2 linked regions of the Sus scrofa genome follow. The protein of the gene in region 1 purifies or fractionates together with the protein of each later gene. This does not show direct contact. Links are inferred from orthologs where the notes say so. Each region holds a gene or a part of one and is shown on either strand. Other genes may lie near its edges. The genes, in order: MAP3K2 and TRAF7.

Region 1 (3,810 bases):
GATATTTTTGTTTTTCGGCAAAACTATTTTGTAGATGATGTTATAGTTTATGAATAGGAGGTATGTAACGCGAGACTATCTCTGTGATGTCAGCAGATGTTAATGTTCAGTGTTTCTATCTATTAATCTGTCATTTGTTAGCTAAGATATTTTTATAAAGATAAGTCTCCTTTCATCCACTATTTAGTCCTCAGTAGTACAGCTCATAAAAGCAGAGTAAAAGGACCCTATTATGAAATAATGAGTAGGCTCCCTAGCAAAAATGATCAATTAATTTTTATCCTAGGTTTCATTATGAACTCATGGGTTTAAACAAAAGTGATCAGCTAGTTTTCCTTTTCCTTTGCCATTTAAAAACTGCTCATCATAAAAAGTTAGGAAATACAGAAAAAGTAAAAAGTATCCAGGAGAAAAGTAATTATCACTAATCCTGCCACTTGGAAATAACCACTGTTAATCATGTGGAAATTTTTCTCCTAGGCCATACTTTAATACTTGAGGTCATACTGCACATCTAATTTTATATCTTACACTTTTATCATATATCTTGCCCTGTACTGTTTATAAATCACCTTGCTTCCAACCTCCTCACACTGGCAAGGTGAAAAAACCCAGTTGGGGAGTAACTGTTTGAATAAAGATTATTCCTAACAGACTAATTCATAATAAAAATCATTTCCCTATGTATTTTTCTTTGTTTTACCATGTAAGTTCCAGGTACACAACACAGTGATTCAGTATTTCTATACATTACAAAATTGTCACCACCTTACATGGTTCTTTAAACTACTGGGTTTTATACTTGACAACTGGTAAGAATTGGTGGATCTTGAGGTGAAAGATAGGCTCCTCTTTTTTTCAGATCATGAGTGATGTGGTCATCTCCAAGACTCACCGGTCAGCTCCACTATACATGGGGTCTTGCCCAGGCATTCTGCAGCAGTTTCTACTCTATGACTGAAACTGGCTGGGAATGTTCTCTTTAGCCTGAATATGGCCTTGTTCAGGATGTGACACACCACCAAAAGGGAGTAAATTCATGATAGCTCCTAAGAGTTCCCAGGAAGGCTAATGGAAAGAAGTTTTAAATTTATTGTGTGTGTGTATTTGTTCATTATTCTCAACAACTGATTGAATAAAGTGATTTTTTTTTTTTTTCGTCTTTTTAGGGCCACATCCATGGCATGTGGAGGTTCCCAGGCCAGGGGTTCCAATCGGAGCTGCAGCCGCCAGCCTACGCCACAGCAACACAGGATCCGAGCTGCATGTGCAACATACACCACAGCTCACGGCAATGCCAGATCCTTAACCCACTGAGCGAGGCCAGGAATCAAACCCAAGTTCTCATGGGTTTAATTGCTGCGCCATGATGGGAACTCCCAAATAAAGTAATCATAACATTTGGGTCACAACCTGGTTTTTACAGAATGAAGCCTCCCGGTATGCTTTGGAGAACAGAGTTTTAAGACTCTTAAATTCACACATCTCTACCAATCAATTTTGTCTTGCTTCATGCAGTCACTTTATGTTTGATCCATGAAAACAGCTGAGTTTTAAAAAGTGAGCTTAACTGAGCTGGAATTCATCAAAGCTCAGTCTTGGGCTCTCTTTTTATTCTCTCCTTAGGTAATGATATCCATCCCACAGCTTTAAAAATGCTCTCAACATAAAGTACATCATGATTGTAACTAACTTTTGAGTGCTTTCTAGATACCAGGCATGGTATTAAGCATACTATATGCATTAACTCATTTAATTTTTTTTTTTTTAAGGCTGTACCTGCGGTATATGGAAATTCCTGGGCTAAGGGTTAAATTGGAGTTGCAGCTGCCAGCCTACACCACAGACACAGCCACAGAGCCTCATCTGCAACCTATGTCACAGCCTGCGGCAAGGCCAGATCCTTAACCCACTGAGCGAGACCAGGGATTTAACCCACATTATCACAGACACTATGTCAAGAAGTCCTTAACCTGCTGAGCCACAACAGGAACTCCAACTCATTTAATTCTTATAGGAATCCTCTGAGCTGTACACTGTTATTTCCCTCCTTAAAAATGAGGAACTGAGGCACAGAAGATGTCTCACAGTTAGGGAGAGATAAAGCCTGAATTTAAACCAGGCTATGTGGTATCAGAGACCCTACTTTTTTTTTCTCCCCATTTTTGGCTGCCCTGTGGCATATGGAGCTCTCGGGCCAGGTCTGAGTCACAGCTGCGACCCAAACCACAGCTACAGAAACGCCAGATCCTTAACCCACTGTGCCAGACCCAGAGCTCCCAAGATGCCTCCAATCCCACTGCGCCACAGCTGGAGCTCCTCAGGGGCCCTATTCTTAAGCATTATATGCTAATACCTGTGCTCTCTGGATGAAAACATGTCTCTTTTTTTATAATCATTTGAACTTTACTAAACCTGTGAACCCCACAGGGTAGTTTCCCTCCTGTGGAACCCTGATCATCAGGACTAGTTGGAACTGTCTTCCTACAGTATTTTAAAGGTAGATGTATTAATTCAAATGTCCAATTTCTTAACCATGTTTCATTAAAAAAAAAAAAAAGAGGGAGTTCCCTTCATGGCTCAGAGTTTAACAAAGCCGACTAGGATCCATGAGGACACAAGTTTGATCCCTAGCCTTGCTCAGTGTGTTAAGGATCCTGCACTGCCGTGAGCCGTGGTATCAATTGCACACGTGGCTTGGATCCCGCATTGCTATGGCTGTGGTGTAGGCTGGCAGCTGCAGCTACAATTCAACCCCTAGCCTGAGAACTCCCATATGCTACAGGTGCAGCACTGAAAAAGCAAAAAAAAAAAAAAAAAAAAAAAAAAAAAAAAGAGAGAGTGAGCTGCTGGAGTTCCCTACAGCAGCTCAAGGATCCAGTATTGTCTTTATGGATTTGATCCCCAACCTGGCACAGTGGGTTAAGTATCTGGTGTAGTCATAGCTGTGGTGTAGGGCACAGCTGTGGCTCAGATATAATCCCTGGCCCAAGAATTTCCATATGCTGTGGATGCAGCCATTTTAAAAAAAGAGATAGAGAATGCTGTATATTTTTTTAAAAATAGCTCATTTAAAAAAATAGTTCATTACTTACCTTTTATATCTCTATGAACAATCATATTACTGTGCAAATAATGGACACCCTCCAGAATCTGACGGGTGTATTTCCTAGTCACGTTCTCAGTAAGAGCTCCATATGCTTTTAATTGGTCCTTAATTGAACCCTGGATAAAAGAAAACAAAAAACTATAGTATGGTTTGAAATGAAAACTACCAGTAAATTTTTATTTTTAAAGACTTGTGTGTGTTTATTTATTTATTACTCTCACTGACTAAATAAACCTATGCCACAGCTGGGCAATGTTGGATCTGTAACCCACTGTGCCGGGCTGGGGACTGAACCTGTGCTGCCACAGAGATAATGCCGGGCCCTTAACCCACCACACCACAGTAGGAGCTATTTTATTTATTTATTTATTTATTTACTTATTTTTGTCTTTTTGCCTTTTCTAGGGCTGCACCTGTGGAATATGGAGGTTTCCTGGCTAGGGGTTTAATCGGAGCTGTAGCTGCCAGCGACAGCCACAGCCACAGCCACACGGGATCCGAGCTGCGTCTGCAACCTACACCACAGCTCAGAGCAATGCCGGACACTTAACCCACTGAGCAAGGCCAGGGATCGAACAGTAACCTCATGGCTCCTAGTCGGATTCACTAGCCACTGAGCCATGACGGGAACTCCCTATTTTATTTATTTTTAATTGAAGTTTAGTTGACGTACAATGTCATGTCAGTTTCAGGTGTATACC
Region 2 (3,810 bases), on another chromosome or scaffold:
CATGCTGAACGTGAGCGGGTGGGGCCGGGCCGGGAGGTGGGGTGACAGACTCAGGACCGGCTCTCACTTGGGTCCCAGCAGGGGGCCTGTGCCCGCTCAGGATTCGGTGTCTGTCCTGGGGAGGGTGGCTCCGCTGCACCTGCCCGTCCCCCGCAGAGCCCAGGCCTGGGGCCCCGGGAGGGTCGTGGGGCCCCGCCCACCCCTTCTCTGCTCTGCTCTGGGCCTCGCAGGACGAGCTGTCCCACATCAACGCGCGGCTGAACACGGGCATCCTAGGATGTGAGTACACGCCTGCCGCTCCCGCTGCTGTCCCGGAGGCCCCCGCGGGCCCCTCACCCATCTCCCTCCCTCTCTGCAGCCTATGACCCGCAGCAGATCTTCAAGTGCAAAGGAACTTTCGTGGGTCACCAGGGCCCGGTCTGGTGCCTCTGCGTCTACTCAGTGGGGGACCTGCTCTTCAGCGGCTCCTCTGACAAGACCATCAAGGTGGGCAGGGTCCTGCCTAGGAGCTTGGCAGCCTGGCAGGGCCGGGGTGGGCAGTGCCCATGGACTGGCTCCCCTCCCCCTACAGCGGCCATCTTTCCTGGCGTGGTGCCCCGTGCCACTGGTCTGACCCTGCTGGGACCTGCCCTGACCCCCGGTCTCTGCAGGTGTGGGACACGTGTACCACCTACAAGTGCCAGAAGACGCTGGAGGGCCACGACGGCATCGTGCTGGCACTCTGCATCCAGGGGTGAGTGCAGGCACGTGTGTCTGCCCACCGCAGGGCTCGCGTGGCGCTTGGGTCTGTGGCCACACGTGCCCTCGAAGGGTGGTGTCTGCCCCTCCTGGGAGACAGCCTGGACACCGAGCAGGGCGGGTGGGCTCACGGGGTGGCAGGATGTGAGCCCTCCGTCCCTGAAGCTGTACATGCCCTGGCCTGGAGTCCCGCAGGGGCAGGGGCCAGAGGTGGGACCAGAGAGGGAGGGGGGGACTCACCACGGCCAACCTGCAACCGAGCCCGGGGCACAGCCCCGCAGAGCAGCCAGCCTGACCCCCCCTTCCCCCCAGGGAGCCCCTTCCAGACATCTCTCCTGTCTCATGTCCTGAGGCTTTGTGTTGTGGGCGTAAGTGTGAGTGTGTGTACGCGTGTCTGAGGGAGCAAGGGAGAGGGAGATGCTGGCTCACAGGAAACAACAGCTTGACTGCCAGCAACACGGGCAGGGTAATTACCTCTCAGCTCAGCTGTCAGACGCTTGCCAGGCAGGCACGGGGCTGGGCCTCCACTTCCAAGGGCCCTTCGCTGAGACGGGAAAACCCAGGCTGGGCTCAAGGACATGGCGGTGGCCCTGGCCCCCCGCCCAAGCTGCTGGTTCCTGGGAGCCAGTGCTCCCTTGGCCTGGCCCGGGCAGCGTCAGCGAGGACGCTGGCTTCTCGCGCCCTGACACCGTGGCTCTGCCTCCCCAGGTGCCGGCTCTACAGCGGCTCTGCAGACTGCACCATCATCGTGAGTGGGGCCGGCGGGCGGCATCCACGCCCCACCCGGACCCGGGAGCCTGGGGCTCACTGTGCCTCCTCCCTCCTGCCAGGTGTGGGACATCCAGAACCTGCAGAAGGTGAACACGATCCGGGCCCACGACAACCCGGTGTGCACGCTGGTCTCCTCGCACAACCTGCTCTTCAGCGGCTCCCTGAAAGCCATCAAGGTGGGGCAAGGGGCGCCAGGCGGGGCGGCGGGTGGCGGCGCCTGCCCTCGCTCGCCCGCCTGCACTCACGGCTGCTCCCCCAGGTCTGGGACATCGTGGGCACCGAGCTGAAGCTGAAGAAGGAGCTCACCGGCCTCAACCACTGGGTGCGGGCCCTGGTGGCCGCCCAGAGCTACCTGTACAGCGGCTCGTACCAGACAATCAAGGTGCGCCCGCCCCGAGCGCCTGCGCCCTGGCAGGCTCCCGGGACTCCACTTGTCCTACCCCGACCCCGCCGGCCCAAGGAGACCCTCACACACACCCCAGGGTGGGCAGTGCTGCTGCCTGCATACAGAGACCCCTGGGGTGAGGCATCTGGGCTGGGACCAAGTGGCCTGTGCTTGCCCCCAGATCTGGGACATCCGGACCCTCGACTGCATCCACGTCCTGCAGACGTCTGGTGGCAGTGTCTACTCGATCGCCGTGACGAACCACCACATCGTCTGTGGCACCTACGAGAACCTCATCCACGTAAGAGCCGGCACCCAGGGCTGGGGCCCAGCTCTGGGCCCATTCCCCCTGCCCCCCACCCCCCGCCCCGGTCTGTGCCTCTGACCCGCCTCTGCCTGCCCACCCCCAGGTATGGGACATCGAGTCCAAGGAGCAAGTGCGAACCCTGACGGGCCACGTGGGCACCGTGTACGCCCTGGCGGTCATCTCCACGCCAGACCAGACCAAAGTCTTCAGTGCGTCCTACGACCGCTCTCTCAGGGTGCGAGCTGGCCTGGCAACAGAGGGGGGCCCAGGGCCGGTGGCCAGGCCGGGGCGGGTCCTCATGTGCCCTGTGCCCCCAGGTGTGGAGCATGGATAACATGATCTGCACGCAGACCCTGCTGCGCCACCAGGGCAGCGTGACAGCCCTGGCTGTGTCCCGGGGCCGGCTCTTCTCGGGAGCCGTGGACAGCACTGTGAAGGTCAGCGCCTCAGTTCGGGCCACCCAGAGGGGCGGCCCGTGCTGAGCAGGGGGAGGTGTTGGGAGCCGGGAGCCCTGGGCGGGTGGCGGGGGACAGCAGGCAGGAATGGCAAGTGGCTCTGGGGCCGGACGCCCAAAGGGGCCCCTGAAACGGAGCCTTTCCTCTGCAGGTTTGGACTTGCTAACAGAACCTGGGCCAGGTCTTGGCTTGCTCTGGGCCCAACCCAGACCAGTCCCAGTCCGGCTGGCCCCATGGTTGGTCTGGGGGTCTCTGCCCACCCTGTGGGGACAGGCAGGCAGACTCAGCCAGGCAGGCAGTGAGTGCCCTCCCTGCCCGGCACCCAGCGAGTCCCCCTCTGCTTGGCCCTGTCATCGTCACTGCCAGGACAGTGCCCAGCCCCTCTCTGGGTGCCAGGTACGACGCTCAGCAGCCCCCCACTCTGTCCTGACTCCAGGTGGACTGTGGGCCTTTTTACTCACCTTTTCTACTGTTTTTAGACTGTATATAGATTTGATTACTTCCTGATTGAAATAAAAGCTGCACAGACTGTGGCTGTGAGTCCGGATGGCCCTTGGGGAGGGAGAGGCCGCCTGAGAACACTGGGGTGCCCGGGCACCAGCAGCCAGTGGGAGGGACCCTGGGGTGGGAGCACCGGAGGCTCCCGGTGACAAGCCCAGGGGGGAAAACGGCCCTCTCTGTGGCGTCTCCTCCCCACCAGGAACAGGCTGGCCTCCCACTTGCCCCAGTGTACACGCCCTCAAAAAGCCAGCCAGGCAGCTCCGTTTTCAGCTGTTTATTGACAGCTGACAGTAGGTCCCTGCCCGAACCCCCCGCCCCACCTGCCTGCCCCCGGGCCACGCGCTGAGGAGGCCAGGGAGATGGCCAGGCGCATCCAGCAGGGAAGGGTCCACAAGTGACCGCTGGAAGGGGCCCCCCCCATGCCCGGACACCACCTCGGCAGACCCCTCTCACTCGCCAGGATCACAGTCACTGGTTTTCGGCGTTTTTTAATTCTTTTTTTTTTTTTTTTTAAGAAATGTCAGAGTTGTGCCCAACACACGTGGGTCATCAGCAAACACGATAGAGGAGACCGATCAGTACTTTTTGGAGCAGGGGGTTGGGGGAGAGAGAAGGCGAGAACGACCACACGACACGGCCTCGGACCACGAGCA

What was found.
Region 2: the proteins of MAP3K2 (region 1) and TRAF7 purify together in Homo sapiens (affinity purification with mass spectrometry; 3 studies listed by BioGRID and IntAct, with this or other methods). This does not show direct contact. The link is inferred for Sus scrofa from reciprocal best matches to the Homo sapiens genes MAP3K2 and TRAF7.

Annotation. Positions count from the first base shown.
Region 1 is NC_010457.5:25,167,412-25,171,221, reverse strand, and holds part of MAP3K2 (mitogen-activated protein kinase kinase kinase 2), read right to left. Parts: intron 3,226-3,810; coding exon 3,096-3,225; intron 1-3,095. UniProt on the Homo sapiens protein: Component of a protein kinase signal transduction cascade. Regulates the JNK and ERK5 pathways by phosphorylating and activating MAP2K5 and MAP2K7. Plays a role in caveolae kiss-and-run dynamics.
Region 2 is NC_010445.4:39,811,182-39,814,991, reverse strand, and holds the end of TRAF7 (E3 ubiquitin-protein ligase TRAF7), read left to right. Parts: coding exon 1-10; intron 11-230; coding exon 231-279; intron 280-358; coding exon 359-486; intron 487-650; coding exon 651-733; intron 734-1,446; coding exon 1,447-1,486; intron 1,487-1,568; coding exon 1,569-1,685; intron 1,686-1,768; coding exon 1,769-1,891; intron 1,892-2,075; coding exon 2,076-2,195; intron 2,196-2,304; coding exon 2,305-2,436; intron 2,437-2,518; coding exon 2,519-2,638; intron 2,639-2,807; coding exon 2,808-2,822; 3' UTR 2,823-3,189; downstream 3,190-3,810. UniProt on the Homo sapiens protein: E3 ubiquitin and SUMO-protein ligase that plays a role in different biological processes such as innate immunity, inflammation or apoptosis. Potentiates MAP3K3-mediated activation of JUN/AP1 and DDIT3 transcriptional regulators.